Linked DNA regions of Drosophila melanogaster. The protein of the gene in region 4 interacts with the protein of the main gene of each other region in a pairwise test. Each region holds a gene or a part of one and is shown on either strand. Other genes may lie near its edges. The genes, in order: Grx5, CG15370, H2.0 and Mst87F.

What was found.
Region 1: the proteins of Mst87F (region 4) and Grx5 interact in a two-hybrid assay, tested with the Drosophila melanogaster proteins (one large-scale study listed by BioGRID).
Region 2: the proteins of Mst87F (region 4) and CG15370 interact in a two-hybrid assay, tested with the Drosophila melanogaster proteins (one large-scale study listed by BioGRID).
Region 3: the proteins of Mst87F (region 4) and H2.0 interact in a two-hybrid assay, tested with the Drosophila melanogaster proteins (one large-scale study listed by BioGRID).

The regions. Positions count from the first base shown.
Region 1 is NC_004354.4:14,836,937-14,840,225, forward strand, and holds Grx5 (glutaredoxin 5), read right to left. Parts: upstream 1,263-3,289; 5' UTR 1,167-1,262; coding exon 878-1,166; intron 818-877; coding exon 627-817; 3' UTR 535-626; downstream 1-534. Other genes in the region: CG14410 (uncharacterized protein), read left to right, coding at 1-394; CG32590 (uncharacterized protein), read right to left, coding at 1,492-1,825, 1,882-2,099.
Region 2 is NC_004354.4:9,223,821-9,227,213, reverse strand, and holds CG15370 (uncharacterized protein), read right to left. Parts: upstream 1,778-3,393; 5' UTR 1,759-1,777; coding exon 646-1,758; 3' UTR 526-645; downstream 1-525.
Region 3 is NT_033779.5:6,013,403-6,021,392, reverse strand, and holds the start of H2.0 (homeodomain protein 2.0), read left to right. Parts: upstream 1-1,990; 5' UTR 1,991-2,199; coding exon 2,200-2,716; intron 2,717-7,296; coding exon 7,297-7,793; intron 7,794-7,895; coding exon 7,896-7,990. Other genes in the region: CG13996 (uncharacterized protein), read right to left, coding at 1-176, 229-543. UniProt on the Drosophila melanogaster protein: May play a role in pattern formation during embryonic and imaginal development. Is not essential for visceral muscle morphogenesis.
Region 4 is NT_033777.3:13,826,619-13,829,870, forward strand, and holds Mst87F (Male-specific RNA 87F), read right to left. Parts: upstream 1,391-3,252; 5' UTR 1,214-1,390; intron 1,069-1,213; exon of another isoform or gene 961-1,068; intron 871-960; 5' UTR 853-870; coding exon 682-852; 3' UTR 533-681; downstream 1-532.

The DNA.
Region 1 (3,289 bases), on a different chromosome or scaffold from region 4:
ACTCGACAATTCAGAATATTTAAAGATTAATCAGAAAATGCTTCTAAATGAGAACCAAGATATTGAGATGGAAAATCAGGTACCAAAGGATCTGGAAAAGCAAACTGATGAGTATCCCAATGAAGAGCAGTACGTCGGGAATCAGTTGCCACTTAGAAATCCCGCTCAATCGACTCCAACTCGTCCAAGTCGCGTGATTCCACCAATGCCATCGGAGGAAACGATGCGCCACTCCATAGCCGACAACCTGATGGAGATCCTGGTGAATATGACTAATCCGCAGCATCGACAACAGTGCTTTTCCCTCTTGCAGGTGGACGATGCTCTGCAGGCACGCAGTCGAATCCTATGCCTCCTGCAGCAAATCGACGAGAGGCGCAGGACGCGCAACTGAATTCATCCTATAGAATGCTTGCTTACATTATAATGGTACTTTTACAAAGCCTGCTATATCTTAATCACAATCATAAATGAGCGCCTGCGATTATATGCCATTGGCTGCCATTTAAATCACACGGAACAACGCACACCATTGTCGTTATGAGTTAAACATTTAATAATAAAAACGTTGCGTGACTAACAGATTTAGGAAGGGAATTTGATCTTTGGGCGCTCTTTTTGAATCATCACTTAGCCTTGTCGTCCTGCTGCTTAGCCTCCTCCGCTTTCAGCAGCTCCGAAATGATGCCCGCCTTCTTGAGCTCCTCGATGAGATCGCCGCTCTGGTGCATCTGCAGCAGGATGTCGCAACCGCCGACAAATTCGCCATTGATGAACACCTGCGGAATGGTCGGCCAGTCGGTGTAGTCCTTGACACCTGCACGCAAGCAATAAGGTTTAACGCTGGCACGCTAATGCATATGTGGAGCGTACTCACCCTGTCGCAGGGACTCGTTTTGCAGCACATCGTGGGCATCGTACTGGACACCGTGCATCCGCATAATCTGCACCACCGCATTGCTGAAGCCGCAGCGTGGCGCCTGTGGGTTGCCCTTCATGAAGACGACCACCTTGTTGGTGCGCACCAGCTTGTCCATTGTCGCCTTGTCCACTGCCGCGCCGGTGGCCGCATCCGCCGCAAGAAAGCGGGTGAGCAGGGATTGCGGTGCTGTGGTGGCGAGAATCTGGTATCTCGGATGGCGGAGACTCTGGCAAATTCGGTTCATCTTGACGGCAGCGACTTGGTCGAGGTAATAATAATATTAGCAATATTATCTAATAAAACAAGTGCTGTTCAAGTGTCAGCTAAAAAGGTATCGATAGCTCGCTCGAGTGGCGACTGAACGGCCTATCGACTATCGAACGGTTTTCGATTATAAGCATTTCAAGAATTTTCATAATATTTTAATACTTTTTTTTATGCATATTATAGAAACTATAAAGCAGGAGTAGTCAGTTATGATAAAAGTACATGTCTTACAATTAAAATAAATGTATTTTAGAATAATAATGCATACATAGCTATGAGTACAATGCTAGAACCTACTTAATCTAGTGGAGTGTCGTATAGGATCGTTGGAGCTCGCCAGGATTACTGGATGTCGCGGCCTGGGCCTCAGTACGTCCTGTTGCCGTGCCAGGACCTATCATATTCTCCATTCGCTGGCTAGTTTCCCGCATAACGCCACCGAAATCGGGTAAATCCGGGAGATCCAGTGCCAGATGGGCGGAGAATCGCTTGTAGACGGAAGATTTGGTGCTATCCTTCTTCACTTTCTTTCTGCTCTCCTCGTACTTTAGCTGCTGCTTGAGGAATATTGAAGCCTTGATCATTTCCTGGATGTTCTCAAATATGCTCTCCGATTTTTCAATCGTTCGCAGCGCTCTGCGGTTAAATAGATTCAATTATATATTATTTTATTATTTAGTAGTTGATCCTACTGTATGCCGTATTCCATATCATAGCAATGTCCCTGGAGATTATTTTGCAGCTGAAAGACTTCATCGCGTTTCTCGAAAATCGCTGGGGTAACCTTGCGAACGTGCTCCTGCACACGGAAAAACGCCAGCGATGGATCGTTGGCGAATATGTGTATGTTCTCCGATATCTTCTCTGATGTTTTCTTCGCTTTGAATACCAATTCGTTGCCGCGCGACATTGTTAAATTCACTCTCTTGTTTTTGTTTTTTATTTCAGTTTTGTTTACATCCGAGACTCCAGTTGGACTAGTTATCGATAACCAGACTGGCTAATTCTATGCAATACATATCGACTGGACGTGACGAGGGGTGCACAATACTATTGGTTAAATTATTAAGTGTGAAAGCGAATAAAAACATTGATTAAAAACCTAGTGAATTATTCGTTTTAATTTTATTTTCTTGAAATATATTCGAATTGAAACTATAAATAGTTAAAATATCGTCGAGATGTTCGACACATCGCTAACAATCGATAATCTTACTTTTTGAAGCGACAGCATCGATGCAAGCAAACAATCGGCGTTTTTCCATCTCCAGCGTAAAGGGACTCGGTTCTTAAGAACGGTAAAAATTTCGTCAATTGATTCGTTTTAATTGAAAATCAGGAATTAATTTACTGCGTCGACGCGATCAATTAAAGTCGAAATATTTTTTGAATTTTTTTTTTACTGTGCCAGTGAGTGAATGAAAAACTAGTTGGAAGTTGCAGTGGCAGAGCAACAACTACAAAAACGGAAAACAAACTGTGGGATGCTGATAAACTTTTTTCCCGGCTCGCATTTCGATGATTTACGAATAATCTAGTGTAAAGCCGGTTTTTGCTAAACGCGGTCTAAGTCATGAGTTCTAGCTAAAAACAATTGCTAATAAACATTGGTACAGCAACAACAAAGCGGCAATAACAAACTTTGTTTATTTAGAAACTCCAATCAGCCACCCCAATCAGAATGCACGCACACACTAAGGGTTAATTTTCTAGTGTGTATGCGTGTGCGTGTCTGTGTGTGCGGGTTATTTTTGTTGTTTGGTATTTATACACACCGTGTTCTTTTGTTGTTGTTGTGGTTGCTGGGAATTTGTTCTGATTTTTCTCAGTGCAAGAATGATGAGCTCATTGATAAGACGCGCCCCATCTCTCGCTCTCCTTCTAACGTACTCGCTCTCTCCTTCTCTCTCTCCCCCTCACACACACACACATACACACACGCACACATGGCTGCTTACGTCATGCCGCACCCCCTTGCTCTACTTTTTATTCGCAACTTATTTGTGTTTTATTAGAACTTTGATAGAGAGCTGCTCACAAAAGTCCCCCAGCAGCGCCATAAAACTAATAAAAATCACCAGCACAGTTTACAATTTTCAA
Region 2 (3,393 bases), on a different chromosome or scaffold from region 4:
ACAACTGAGAAATCCATTAGCCTAACTGACTTCCTCAAAAACACTGAGAACAGTAGTCCATGTATGAATGTACCAAACACGATTTCCGTATTTGAAATAATAATAAATAATCAGAATGTAAATATATTATACGTTTTATAGATAGAATCAAGACTTAGGATAATTGCACTAAGTAGTATACTTAAATTCCCATTGCCAAGTGAACCGGTTGGTATCCAAAGTTGAAGTCAATAACAAAAATGAGTGCATTTTACTCTTGCACCATTAGAATATTAGATTTTAGTGTTTAAATAAACTAATTTGAGAATTCAAGATCATAATATGCATACTAATTAGACAGTCTCTTTTTTTTATTACTTCAACTATTCAAATTTGCGTTTTTATTACATTATAATTTTCAAGTGGTCTTGGTGCTTTCCAACTGCTAGGATTGAGTTGAAACAAATAAATAAATAAACAAATAAGTTAACCTTTTGTTTATTACTTCTAACAACTTGATTCCTAGAAATTGAATAACATTTCTTTAAGTGTTTACAAACATTTATTTATTTATCGCTTAAATCTGAAAACTGACTATCGACTTACGAAGCTAGGAAAAAAAAAGTGCAATAAATAGATCTTAGATTAGACGGGGTGTTGGAACGCCTACAGATAGGGCCCACCACTGTACTGGTGATAGCTACTGGATCCATAGCCCTGAACATGACCCACGTTGTAGCTATCGACGCCACTGTATGTTTCGGACGCGGCACTGTTGAATCCCTTGGACTCGGGCCAATCCACCAGGGATTGCGATGGCCGGCGACGCCTTGTGGCCGTAAGCGGTGGTCCATAGGTGTCCGCCGGTTCCTCCTCGCCGTACGGGTCACTGGATGGCACCTGGACGGATGGCCGGAAGTCAGTGCTACTTCCGGCCGAGGGTCGCGAGTAATCGTATCCGAAGGAGGATTCCTGCGGAGCTTCGAGAGTGTACGCTGGCGCTCTGGTTTGCTTGGAGCTCCGCTGGGCCTGACCGTGGCTGGGCGGGATGTAGGCGTGACTGTGTGGCGAATACTTATAGCCCGTATCCGGCTCCTGGTCGATGTGCTCCTCCACTGGTGCGGGTTCCGCATAGGCGCCAGTCTGATGATGATGATGATGATGATGATTTCCCCCGCTCGGATAGTGATATCCATAATCGTCGTCCACCTCCTCCTCCTCAACCGGATGGTGAGTATGAGTGTGATGATGGTGCTGCTGCTTGGGTCGCGATTCAATCACTCGATAAGTCTCCACACTGGGCTCATGGTGATCCTCGTAGTCGTAGCCATGTGGTCTGTGCTGCTCCTCAATGATCGTATAAGTGTTGACCTTCTTCTTGGGCGGCGGCGGCGGCGGAGGAGCTGCCTTTTTGGCATACGTCTCCGTGAGGTGGTCGGCCAGCTCCTTGGCGTGATTCAGATAGTCCGCATGCTCGCTCATGTGCAGCGGCTTGTCCAGATCCGAGAGGATTACGCTCTCCAGCAGTGGACTGGGCTTGGGACGGGCTCGTCCCCGATTGCGGTATAACTGATGCGGATGCGGATGGTGGTGGTAGTGGTGGATCACCTTGTGTGGCGACTCCTCCGCCGCTGACTCCTCTTTGGGCACATGCACCTTGATGTGGACATACTCGTTGCCGAAGCCCGCGACCAACGGTATTAACAGCACCAAGATCACAGGCACCAGCAGGTGGGAACGGCCGCTAATCCATGCCATGTCGTCGCGTCGAGTGGTCATCACCTTATGGTCGCCGCCTTGCCAAAATTGGTTTAAACCGAAGTCTTTCTTTTGTCAAAATTTATATACAACAGCCAATGCTGGCGACGACAAGCATCTTGACCTACGGAGCCCTCGGGTGAAATGGATGACACCTTGCCCTGCGCCGACCTTCAAATGCCCTTTGTGCGTGTATACCTTTCTTTTAGCAAATTAATAATGGATTTCTTTTTGCCATTATTACCTTATTCATTATGTTACTAATATTTTTATTCTCCGATTAATTTGTTAATCTTTAAAGAACTTGCATACAAGCTATCTGCATGAGTTCTTGTAAATTGATAAAATTAATATAAAGTTTCCATTCTGTTACGCAGCGTGGAATCTCCCACTCTGCATCATGCGTTTCTTTCTAAAAAAAATTAATAAATATCTTCGAATTTTTATCAGTTTCTGACGTCTCTGCACTGGACCCTAGTACTGATATCCTAAAGAAAAGAGTGATCATAATATTCCATATTTTTATATAATTATTAACAATAATGCCTTATATAATAAGGATATCATAATGTATGATATAAAAAGGATTATTAATTCGCGAATGTATGAGTAATACTTTGTAGTTCTAGGTTTTTCGATGGAGCGCTGCCAACGGTGTCATAAAACCGAGATGCTCCAAAACGCAGGTGAGTGTAGGGTGTTTGGGGGCAACTGTAAAATGTCATTTTCTTGCAATCACCGTTCGACGGAATCTCACTATCCCGCTCTATCCACACTAGCCCCCCTCCTCGCCCTTTCTCCATCGCACCGAAACTAGCGGTTGTTTTATTTGTTTTAACTTTTGTTTTCATTATTATTGAAATGCGATGCATACATTTTTCTAGCCGCCAGCCAGACGACAACAACGAACGAAAGTTAATACAAATTGAATAATGAAAGCGACCTGATCTGTTCGCAGCTATCGAAATTATCGGGGAAATTACCGTGTTCATTCATACCTAATCGATATTCTCACTTATATAATATCGGCGCATATCGCCAATACTAATTTTCAGTTTCGCGCTACGAAATTAATAAAAAACATTTAATTGTGATGCTAATAGGGGGAAAAAAAATAAACTGAGAAAGTTGCTCTGCGACATCATTATCACGATCATCATTTTCAGTATCATTATCATCGCGATTGTAGGCCACTTGGAAATCTCTCTTTCTCTCTCAGATGGCAAACAAAATACAACGAAAAACAATACAATTAATATGCAAGTGGCATCTGGATTGATTGCTTAAATATTTATTTATTCGCATTTAATTTGCGAAGTCTGAAAATTTAGAACTGAAAACCAAACCCAATCTATAATTCGCTAATGAATATTATGTATGTTCGCGGTTCTCACGCTTTTCATTTGGCGTGAAAATTAAGCAGAAAATCGGGGAATGCAAAATCCAACCCAGTTAAAAAGGCAATAAATGGAAAGAAAAGAAAACGGCGAAACAATCGAAAACGTGTTTATATGGTCGGCAAACAAAAGCGAAAATATTCATGGTCAGTTTGTTGGTCGAAAGAGGGGGTAGCATCGGGGTATGCCGGATATTTCCAGCACTCATATTACGTATACGCAAAGAAAAGGGGTAACACAATGAGGCAAAAAGCGTTCC
Region 3 (7,990 bases), on a different chromosome or scaffold from region 4:
ACCTCACTCTGCTGCTTGGTCTCCGTCGCCGTTTGCAGCTCCTTCCTGTAAAGCGCTCGTATGCCGCGGCCCAGGTGGCGGATGTGCTCGAAGTTGCGAACGTTGAGCGCAACCAGAGCAACTGCGTCCAGATTCAGCAGCTTGTGTCCATCAATGTAGTTCTCCCGAAAAGTTTGCTGTAACGAAGCTATAGGTTACCCAACATAGTGAGTAAGAATCTTAGCCCACCTCGTACTCGGGATAACCAAAGTTGCGCAGCCAGTCGGTCACATCGTTGATGCTCCACTTGAAGACCTCAGTGCGGGCTTGGGAATCCACGACGGCGGCGCAGAGATTGAAGAGCGAGTCCGGCGAGGCCTTGAAGGGTAGCGGCACATCCTCCTTGTCGTACTCCACGTCCGGAAACATGTAGCTGGGATAGCGAAAGCAGAACTCCTGCTCATCCTGCGGCGGCTCACAGATATCCGGACTGTCCATGCCACTGGCACTGTGCGGCAGTGGTGACGGTATGGTGGAGCACCTGGACGCTGAGAACGACTCCATTCGAGTGGTGGCAGCGCACTGTTCCTGGGCCAAAGTGAATTGAGTTGCCCCGCAACGATTTGGTTGCGGTTTCCAGCGATTCCTCAAGAATAAGTGGCGTTCGTGTCTGTTTACATAGTTTGATTGCGTTTCGCTTTCATTTGTTGTATGCCCTATAATTTTCCGGGAAAAGTTGTTGGCTACAATCACTAAGGCTCAATTTGCACTTTAAATGGGTTAATGGAATTTAAGCCATGCTCTTTCCAATCAGTATCTTTGAACGTTCGGCATATCCTGGAATGTATCTGAATCTTTTTTTTTAAGTAAAAAGGATTATTTTATTATTAATCGGACTTCACTTTGAAGAGGATAAAAGTGTCACCGACTGGCGATGGATTTTCCGCTGCCATTGCATTTGCATATTCCACATTTTCTGGGTCACTTTGTGGGCTTGTGGTGCTAGGGTGTTTTTGGCACCAAATCCGCCCGCTTGGATGGGAGTTTTGTGCCGGAAAGTATGCTATCTTAAGGTAGTCACGACAATTTTCCTATTAATAACGCCAGTTTCGCTCCGCAATTTACACATTTCTACTTAAGTTTTCCAACCCCGACGATCCGTTCGTGTTCCGTTTTGCGGATTTCCGCTTGTGGAATGCGGTTTCTGATTTATGACCACCAGTCCCGGTTACCCACTTCATTGAACCCAGACAGCGTGGAGCAGGTGGAGTTCGCGCAGATCGCTCAATCCCAAGCCAATGGAAGGCACATTCCTTGGGCGCGAAAGCGAGATGCCGCATCAGCGCCACCAGTGGCTCCGCCCACCACTGCGGATCGATCGCATTGGCCAGAAATCACGAACCACGAGCCACTCGACATGGCCTCTGCGCAGGGAAACCGGAATTCGGATGGGGTGTGTGTGTCTGTGTGTGGGAGTACGGGAACATATGGAGAAATCGGTAAACAAATCTCGGCTGCGCTCGAGGAAACGATCTCCGACTGAGCTAATGACACAGCGGCATGCTTGTGTGTAAACAAGCGATCGGCATGGCAAGGTATCCCATCTGTGTGTGGCTACAGTGGGATCAGGTCTATGGTAAGTGGATTAACATAATTTTAGGGCACTTTCTAGAGGTATATAGATCTTCAGCGGAATAGAAACCAATGTTACCACCAACCGAAGCCCAAAAATCTAATCTTTCTTGATAGTATTACTCTTCTTGAGTATTACTTTATAAACAATATACACGTTGGATAAAAAAATATCCTGGTTTGTATATCCTGTATATCGAACATATAGCCATTATTTATTGTTAGCATTATATCCTGATCATCTCGCACTCCTTGCCCCACTGTCAGCACCAGGAATACACAATCTCAGCGAGATTAACCCCACCGCCAACAGACTGTTCCGCGTTGGCTGGCCGATCGGCAATCGATGGCTGGTTGAGCGTGCTCCCTGGCCGGTTCCGATCAGTTCTGAGTGGGATGTCTTGCAAGGCGGTTTAATCGGAGGTGCACGAGACCTAAGCCAAAATTCGCGATCGTTTTATTGGTGCACAGCGACGGTGTTTTGGACATGATAGATAGTCCCTATCGATTGTGAACGTGTGAAATCAGTTTTGAGTGTCCTGTGTCGAGATTCGTAGATAGAAACCATATACAACACATATCCGGACAATGTTACTACACGAGAGTGCCGCCAGCATGGAACAGAGTATGCCCGAGAACCTCAGCACTCACATGTACGGCGAGTGTGAAGTGAATCCAACGCTGGCAAAGTGTCCCGATCCAGTGAATGTCGATCATGAGCTGCCCACCAAAGAATCCTGTGCCTCGACTACCATAGTCAGTACGTCGCCAACCAGCGCCACGAGCACCACCAAAGTCAAGCTGAGCTTCAGTGTGGATCGTCTGTTGGGCTCGGAACCCGAGGAATCCCACCGGCAGAGCTCCTCCTCGCCCTCGACCAAGTCATGCTGCGATGGCAGCATTCTAGCCTGCTGCTCCTTCCCCCACTGCTTCAGCCAGGCGAATGCCGAATCCCGTAGGTTTGGACATGCCACGCTTCCGCCCACTTTCACACCCACTTCATCGCACACGTACCCCTTCGTGGGTCTGGATAAGCTGTTCCCTGGCCCCTATATGGATTACAAATCAGTGCTCAGACCGACGCCAATTCGGGCAGCAGAACACGGTAAGGATGCACTATACTCAAAAGGGAACATCCTTTGAATCCGAGCAGGTTTTACAAAAAAAATGTCCATTTGAAAGTAAATCATTCAAAATTACCATTAAGTGCACGGCATTTGGAACATCATGAGCAAACCGAGTTGATAGAAGGAAAACATTTAATCTCTGTAAGGGATGCCTTAAATTAATATGAACTATATTGGTACTGATCCGTATTACATGGATTATAGGTACCTAAGTGTATTTTTAAGATACTTTTAAACTTAAAAGGAATCAGCTCCATACAGAAAGCTATTGAAACATCATTCGTTCGCAGTGAACCTCTTCTAGTTCCAACAACGTACCACTTATCAAAATAATATTTTATACCCATGACTCTATCTTGTAGATACGATCTATCATCTGCACTATTTCAATCTCCCCGTATGTTGTGTGCACTTGCAGCGCCAATAAAACTGATCAAAGCTAATCAGATATTGCGATTTGTCAATCATTCTGCATTCTTTCCATGGAAATATGCAGGATCTCAGGGAACGATCAAACGAGTTGATGAGGTGGCTTCGCCATTTGCCCATCAAAATTCCTTAGCTATTTCGCTCTGTTTTTCAATTATGGACTATAATTATTAGCCATGTTGAGATTTGCAGAGAAAATCGTGAAATGGAATTTAGCCAAATGGGAAATGAACATTCCTGGAAACACAAAGAGTGAGAACCTAAGGCGCAGCCCCAATAAATTTCACGTTTTTATTTGAATTATTAGTTGATCTGCAGCCATATTGTGCAATATTCCTGCGGCCAAATGTTCCGCGCCTTTGGCTCTTGACGAAAACAATTCGATTTTTGAAATCGACAACAAAATAGTCCGGATTGTTTTGGGTATTTGCCGTACTTCCTGCTGTTTTTGTATATCTGGGGACGAAGACTTCTTATAAAGCCTGCAGGCTGCCAGCGCACTTTGATCTTGTTTATGTGAAAATGGAAATGGAAATGGAAATAGTGAGAGCAACATAATCGGTAAATGTTTCGCTTTTCGAATAGAAATTGTTCATTGTTTAACAAGCTGCTTGAGTTTTATACATATCGTCAGCACAGCCTTTTCCCATTCAATATTGTACACAATTCTTATCAAGTGGGTGCTAACAATGCGAGGGCCTTAAACGATCTTAAAGATCTTTTGCGGATAAATGAGATACATATTTGGTTTGGGATTCCTCAATGGATAAATTGATTAGGAAATGTCTGAGATATTAATTTATTTCAAAATAAGAGACCCGCAAATATGTGGAGCTATACTAAAATGATGTGTAAATGGTATTAGCGAGCTTAACTTAAAGCTTACTATAGTTTAGACCTAGTTACAAGTAGCAAAATACAATTTTTTAACAGCCGACTAAAACATATTCAAAAAAGACTTTGGTTGATTCATCCAACGTAAATTCGATACTAATAGCCCTTTAAATTCCGCCAAATTCCAGCACACGATTAAATTATGTAGCAAAATTAGCGCCAAACTTAAATAAATTACACTTCACACAATGATGGAACATTAATGAAAATTATCATCAGTGCTAAGTGGTTTTCAAACACATTTGCTCAGCCAAAAATGGGAGGAGCAATTAGTAAGGCGAATAAATTCGACATAGCTCAATCAACAAAAGATCGGTAAAAAAAAAACGAAGAACAGACAGCACCTGAAAGGCTTCATCAATCCTTTGGGCACCGCAAATAGATGAGATGCCAAAGACCAAAGTGGAAAATTAAGAACAATTTATGAACAAATTACGAGTCAGTCTTTAAAAATAAACTTCAAGCTCACACGGATCGTGGAAAACGTTTGTGGCGAACAGTTTGTTTATTTGCTTGGGCAATTGGCCCGTCATTCATGGGCAGATACAGATAGCTATCCATCTAATTGCCCGCTCTCTAATGAATTGTTCCGCCGGCCGAGGAGTTCGACAGGTGGAGGCATCTTTGGCCCGGCTAGAGACGCGGATCTCTGATAGATTGGGCGCCACGGTTCCAACTACTGCGGCTCAACCGACTCCAATGAGGCTCGGCTGCCGTTTAGGCCAACGACAGGGAACTGCTGACCGATGGATGACTGTACCGGGTATGGGTACGGGCACGGGCACGGGTGAAACTATGCGCTGTTCTTTGGGGGCCGAGCCAAAAGGCCAAGTATTTACACAACCACCCACTGTGGTGGCCTTTTCAGGAGGAGGCTACCCTGTGGCTGCCCGCCGTGTCCAACCTGCCGGCCCCTGCGGAATTATTCCGTGATGGATTGATTGCATCGCATCGCACATCATAAAATCATGGACCAGCGAGATCTCTGCGGCTCCTCCGTCGACTATTTGTTGCTGTTTGCCTGTCCCGCCTGGCGATGAGTAGTTTGTTGATCTGTTGTTGTTGCTCTTCTGGCTGCCGATCAATCGATCCATCCATCGATCGATTGGATGCTACAGACCATTGTCTGATATGGAAATTCTGTCTGAACAATAATCCGGCGCCGTGGGTCTAATTAATTAGCAATTTATATGTTAATCCAACTGATAGATGCACTTTCAAAGCGTTCGAAGATCCCTGATTAATGATGGCCCTCAGACGATTTCTTTTGGAACTTTGAAGACTCTTTCTCAAGTTCCCAACAGCAGGGGAGGGTTGTAGCAATAATAATTACCACGCACTCAACTCAAATTAACGGGACTGATATATGTATGTAGATACCACAACTATAGGATTAACTATAATGAATTGAGTGAAAATTGACGACAATCCCAAGTAGCTAAAGATATTTCACGAAATATACAATTGAAATATTAGCTATACTTTTGATTTCACTTAAATATTTTGAAAGTACATAATGCAGATAATATATCTTAGTGCATAGTTAGCTGGTAAAAGTCAGAGATTCGGATGTTCGGAAGTAGATACATATGTATAATATATTAAAATCAATCAAATAAACACATACTCCGCTTGTCGAGCTGGTAGTCGAAATTTCCATAGCACATGGCCCACTGGGAGTGCTCTGCTTAACCCCAAAAGATCATTCGCAATTTACCGCGAAATAAGCCACAATATTCGCCAAGTCGTAAATGTGGAATGCATCGTGCTAATAAATCGATGCAACTTAAATATGGCTGCGAAATGTACGATTCGCAAACACATCCTACTGGAGATGCATCTGCAACCCAGACCCTTGAGTGATTTAAGATGGCATCCGAAAAATTATCACAACTCATTAAGATATTTACGGGTCCGCTGGCGGTATTTTGTAAATGTATCTGAACGGGAAAGTCGGCAATTAATGATCTCGCGCTGTGAGTGAACCCCAATGCCCCGGCCAACATCCAAGGTGTTGAAAGTCGGTGAAAACTCATTATAACAAACCCCCGATGGTTGACACAAGCCAAATGCCAAAACGGCCAATTAAGGCGTTATTAGCCCCTGCAGATGTGCTGAGATTCCATTGGCGTTCCCGATGCAGATACACAAGCGCACGGATTGAGATACAATTGTATCCACAAGTGCAGAAGCGCATTTCCGCTGCAGTGTAAATACACACAATCGATCGAGTAGTGTGTTGCTTAAGTAAATAAAACGCTCGATCTCGAAAACAATTAGGCGCATGCCGCGAGCACACAAACAAATCGAATTCCACATAGCACAACGTTAAAAAGGCAATAAAAAATACCTATGATAATTTAGCGTTGGCTACAAACAAAGAGGAATGGTTTGCAGTTTGAAATCAAATAAAATTCAATGAAAAAGTCAAGGATAGGAATTAAAATTGTGGCCTTTTAACAACATCAGGATTACATTTCATATCAACATTAGTGAACATTATCGTGAACTGAGGATTCAAAGGAACTTTTTGTAGCATACTTTTCAGCGGAGTCCTTTGAGTTGATAAATGCCGTAATGATCTTGATTGAAACTCAGTAGTTAGATAAAGGATAGTAAATGCCAATAATGATTGGAAATACAATAGGAAAGTCAACGTCATTCGAATTGTTTCTTACTGCGTGTATAAATTCTTGGATATTTAAAAAACATTTAAGGGAAGTAAAGCACCCTGGTTCGACCTCAACCTCGTGTGCCCCATGTCGTGTTCGATTACCCCAAATAATTTTGGATCTCTAGAGGTAATTGTTGTTGTTTAGATTCGCGCTAGAAGTAAACAAATTTCGTTTGCCCCCCCTAGCCACAAAACGCTTCAATGATAATTTCCAATTAAGTGAAAATTTTATTATAAACAAGCCCATTTAAAAATTCTCAACATGCATTTTATTGATCAAAATAATTTACTCAGAAAACACAAAAAATTGAATTTCATATTTTCTTTGGCGAAACAAGTATCATTTCTTTGGCCGGCGATAAATGTATTATTTCCTGCGGATGCAATGTGCTACCAAGGGAGGATGTTGTCCATAACTAATGGTAGTTTTCCTATAAAAATAAATATCCAAATTGGTGCGTAAAAAACGCACCGGATTCAGTATAGCAACAAATTAAGAGTTATTGCTAATGAAGGAAGTATGAATCTCCCAATTGACTTTAACATTCCATTCCCGAACAGCCGCACCCACTTATCCCACGCTGGCTACCAATGCGCTCCTCCGCTTCCATCAACATCAGAAGCAGCAGCACCAGCAGCATCATCATCATCAGCACCATCCCAAACACCTCCATCAGCAGCACAAGCCCCCGCCACACAACTCGACGACAGCCTCGGCGCTACTGGCGCCGCTCCACAGCCTCACGAGCCTCCAGCTGACGCAACAGCAGCAGCGATTTCTGGGCAAGACGCCGCAGCAGCTCCTGGACATAGCGCCCACCTCGCCCGCCGCCGCCGCCGCTGCCACATCCCAGAACGGTGCACATGGACATGGAGGTGGCAATGGCCAGGGCAACGCCTCAGCCGGAAGCAATGGGAAGCGCAAGCGATCCTGGTCTCGCGCCGTCTTCTCGAATCTGCAGCGCAAGGGCCTGGAGATTCAGTTCCAGCAGCAGAAGTACATCACCAAGCCAGATCGCCGCAAGCTGGCGGCACGACTGAATCTCACCGACGCTCAGGTTAGTTAAAAGATGGGATTTTCATAGTTTAACATTTGCACATTCGACTCCTTTCATAGCTCTATAAAAACCAATATATTATTATTTTTATACCCTGATTAGGTCAAGGTGTGGTTCCAGAACCGTCGCATGAAGTGGCGGCACACGCGCGAGAATCTGAAGAGTGGCCAGGAGAAGCAGCCGAGTGCAGTACCCGA
Region 4 (3,252 bases):
TGGCTGGAGTTGGCCAGAAATATGGCCAAAAAGGGGTGGGGGGGGGGGGGCGGTCATCTCCAGGGGGATCGGATCGGCGACTGGAGACGGCGGCATTCGGGTAAATTTAAATATATTTTTTATATGCACTTTGTTGACTTTTTGCGCTTCGCCGTCGTTTAATACCGCTCGGAATTCAGGAATCGGAATCCGCTGTGCCGAAACTAGTTCGTCGCAGAATTAGTGCAGTAAATATACACAAAAGTAAAATAAAAATAAAAATAAAAACAAAAACACAAGAACATGCATGACTGTGTGCGGGTTAAATATGTATGTACCTGCTTAAATAAGTTTTATTTAGCGTGTTCTATTGAAAGGACAATAAACTCTCGGCGAAACGTCAAGGTCGACCACATCGCATTAGAAGACTGCGGATCGATTCTAATTCAGGTCGCATTTGCGTCTAAACATCTGTATCTGTGTTCTAAAATCAGATATTTGGCTAAGCAAATTGCATTTGACTATTATCACTAATCAAAAACCAAACCTTCTTGAAGCTTACACCTCATATTTATTGTCTCAAATACCTATATTTGTGGTTCACGAATATTAGATGAATACGAGGATGAAATAGGGATAGGTTCTATCCTATCGTCTTGGTGTTCTGGTGAACCCTTCTTGGACATGGCCAGTTGCAACTGTCTAGCAGCAAGGGTATCCACAATAGCAGCCGCCACAGGGTCCACAGGCATAGCATGGTCCGCAGACATTCGGTCCATAGCAGGGTCCACATCCTCCTCCGCATGGTCCGCATGGACCACAGCAGGGTCCGCAGCAAGGTCCGCAGCAGGGTCCACAGGGTCCGCAGCACATGATTAATTCGTAAAAGTTCTGAAGGGAGAAAAGGTACGTTTAAATGATATGCCATAGGAATTTTTTACACATTTTCATTTTTGTAAATTTTCACTTATTTTCACTCACTTTGAACCGAACAAAAAGAAATAATTTGAGACTAGACGACAAATTTTGATGTGTTCAGGCCGAAAGGACAAATAATAATGATACAAAATCTGGTTACGCACAGGTATATCGGTTTGACAAGTCGGACTGAAGAGGCAAAGGATACTATATAAAATATTTTGTTTAAAGCATTGGCTAAAGCTTATAATGATTGTATTGTAAGTAGGGAAATGCTCAATCTTCATGTGAATTAACCTTTATATTTCGATCCTACCTATGTAGTTATCATCCAACTTGGTAGGAACGCATCAAGTTGCCACTATTTTTCCAGTGCACTGTAACATATAAACGAGGTAAATGAGATTTAAATTTTTGTTTTGTCGGATCATGTGTTCATTGCACCCGGCTGAAGTTCGAATCGCTGCCGGTTCTCAAGTCGAGTTCTGCGCTGCACTTTTGTTTACTCTTGATTTTGTCGTACTTTTTGATTAAGTGCATGGCGCATAGCCGATTGCCGATTGCCGAGAATCCGGGTATCGGGGCTGAACGGGTATACTATATATGCAAGTGTATATTAAGTTCATTATCTGACCGAAGACTTGTGTTGCTTATGTTTTTTATTTTGTTTTTTCTTGGTTTTTTTCCCCAGCCGAATCGAGCCAAGAATGTCGTCGCATTGAAAGAGGTCAATCACCAGCGATTGCGCCTTGGATGTCACTCGGTGTAATTGAGCGCAATTTATTTCATTTGCTAACGATTTTACGATTTCGGATTTAATTAACTCCCGAAAAGCAGGAAGCCTAGTGGACCAGTTGACAGAGCTCGCCAGCCTCCAAAATGGAACCCTAGTGTTATACACAATGATTATACAATGATTTGTATTTGTGCATGACTGAGTCAGCCGGAGCATTCGGGCAGAAAAGTATGGGTTGCAAATAAAAAGCGCATAATAGGCGTTTAAATGCAATTTTCTTCGCAAAATGGTCGGGCGAAATATCAAAAATTCGAATTATATGTTTTGCCGCATGTTGATTAGAATGTATGTATGTATTTGTGTGTGTGTCGATCAGCAGAGGCAGAAACCGAAGCAAAAACCCCGTCGTCAAACCGCACAGAAGTCCTCTCCCTTCTAGCAGAAATATTTGGGTAGAATCTCGCATCCGAGGAGACGGACAAGTCCAACTCAAAGTCGTTCTGTTTCGGCACGGTGAAAAATCACTATCATAGAAAAAATATATAGCGTAGTGACGAAAGGCGTCTCAAAGAAATGTGAACAAGAGTAGAGTAAGATATATTAAATACAAATCTAGCTTATATTACAAAGTGTCTAATATAAAGTGAATCAAACTTAGTTACATAAATCTAGTAGCGAACTTAGTGACGAAGCGCGTCTCAATCGAATCGGAAAGCGGTAGCAGATTTTAAATAATTATTTTCTTACCACCTAAATGTGGTTAAATGACTTTCATTGAATTTTTCTCTCTGTGGCTCTCTGGTTTTTTTTTTTCAAACTCGAGATGGATGGAACTCTGGTCAATAATTTTGTGAGGGTGCCGCCAAAAGGGCAGCAGACGCTGCTCTAACTTAGTTTTTTCGTTCATATTTGTGGCTGGCCTTTGTTTGAAATAGATTATTGGCAATACATATGTATACAAATATTTTGTATTTCGTCTGGCGACGGGAGTTCAAGGATTTTTATTGGGTTCAGTGAACCAAATGTCTTTCCTCCGGCCGGAAATATCGAATTCGCTTTAATTATGGCCCCTCGCATCAACTTATTAATATAAGTTTGATGAAAAGTGAAACACAATGGGCACACGCAGATGTCATCATCATCGGCTGGAAAGCGCTGAGTACTGCCAGTCAGCCCAGGGAAATCAATATCCGCCTATCCCTAAGTGTGCGCCATAATGACTTTAGGGGCGTGGCCGTCAATGGGGCCAAAGGTGAGGAGCGACCGAAAGGGTAAACGGCGGATTCAGGTAACCCGAGAAGCCGACGAAAGTGAAGAAAGCACGTGCCGCCCCCTAAAAAGTGGCAGCTGATCGCTAAAAAGGAAAAGTAAGGCGCAGTTCTGAAAGTCGGATATATGTACATACATACATAGTACTCTGATGTTAACTTAAATATTATTTAGATGTCTAAATCAAAGTTGAAGAATGCTGCAGCTCGTTTTCTTGCCGATCAATTTGAAGGTGCACAGAGGAAACCTGAGAATCCAATGGAAAGTGGTAATGGTAGTTCTGGGCACGTGCCGCCCCCCGAAAAAGGATTCAGCTGCCTTGAAAAAGGAAAGTGAACGCATCGTGTCGC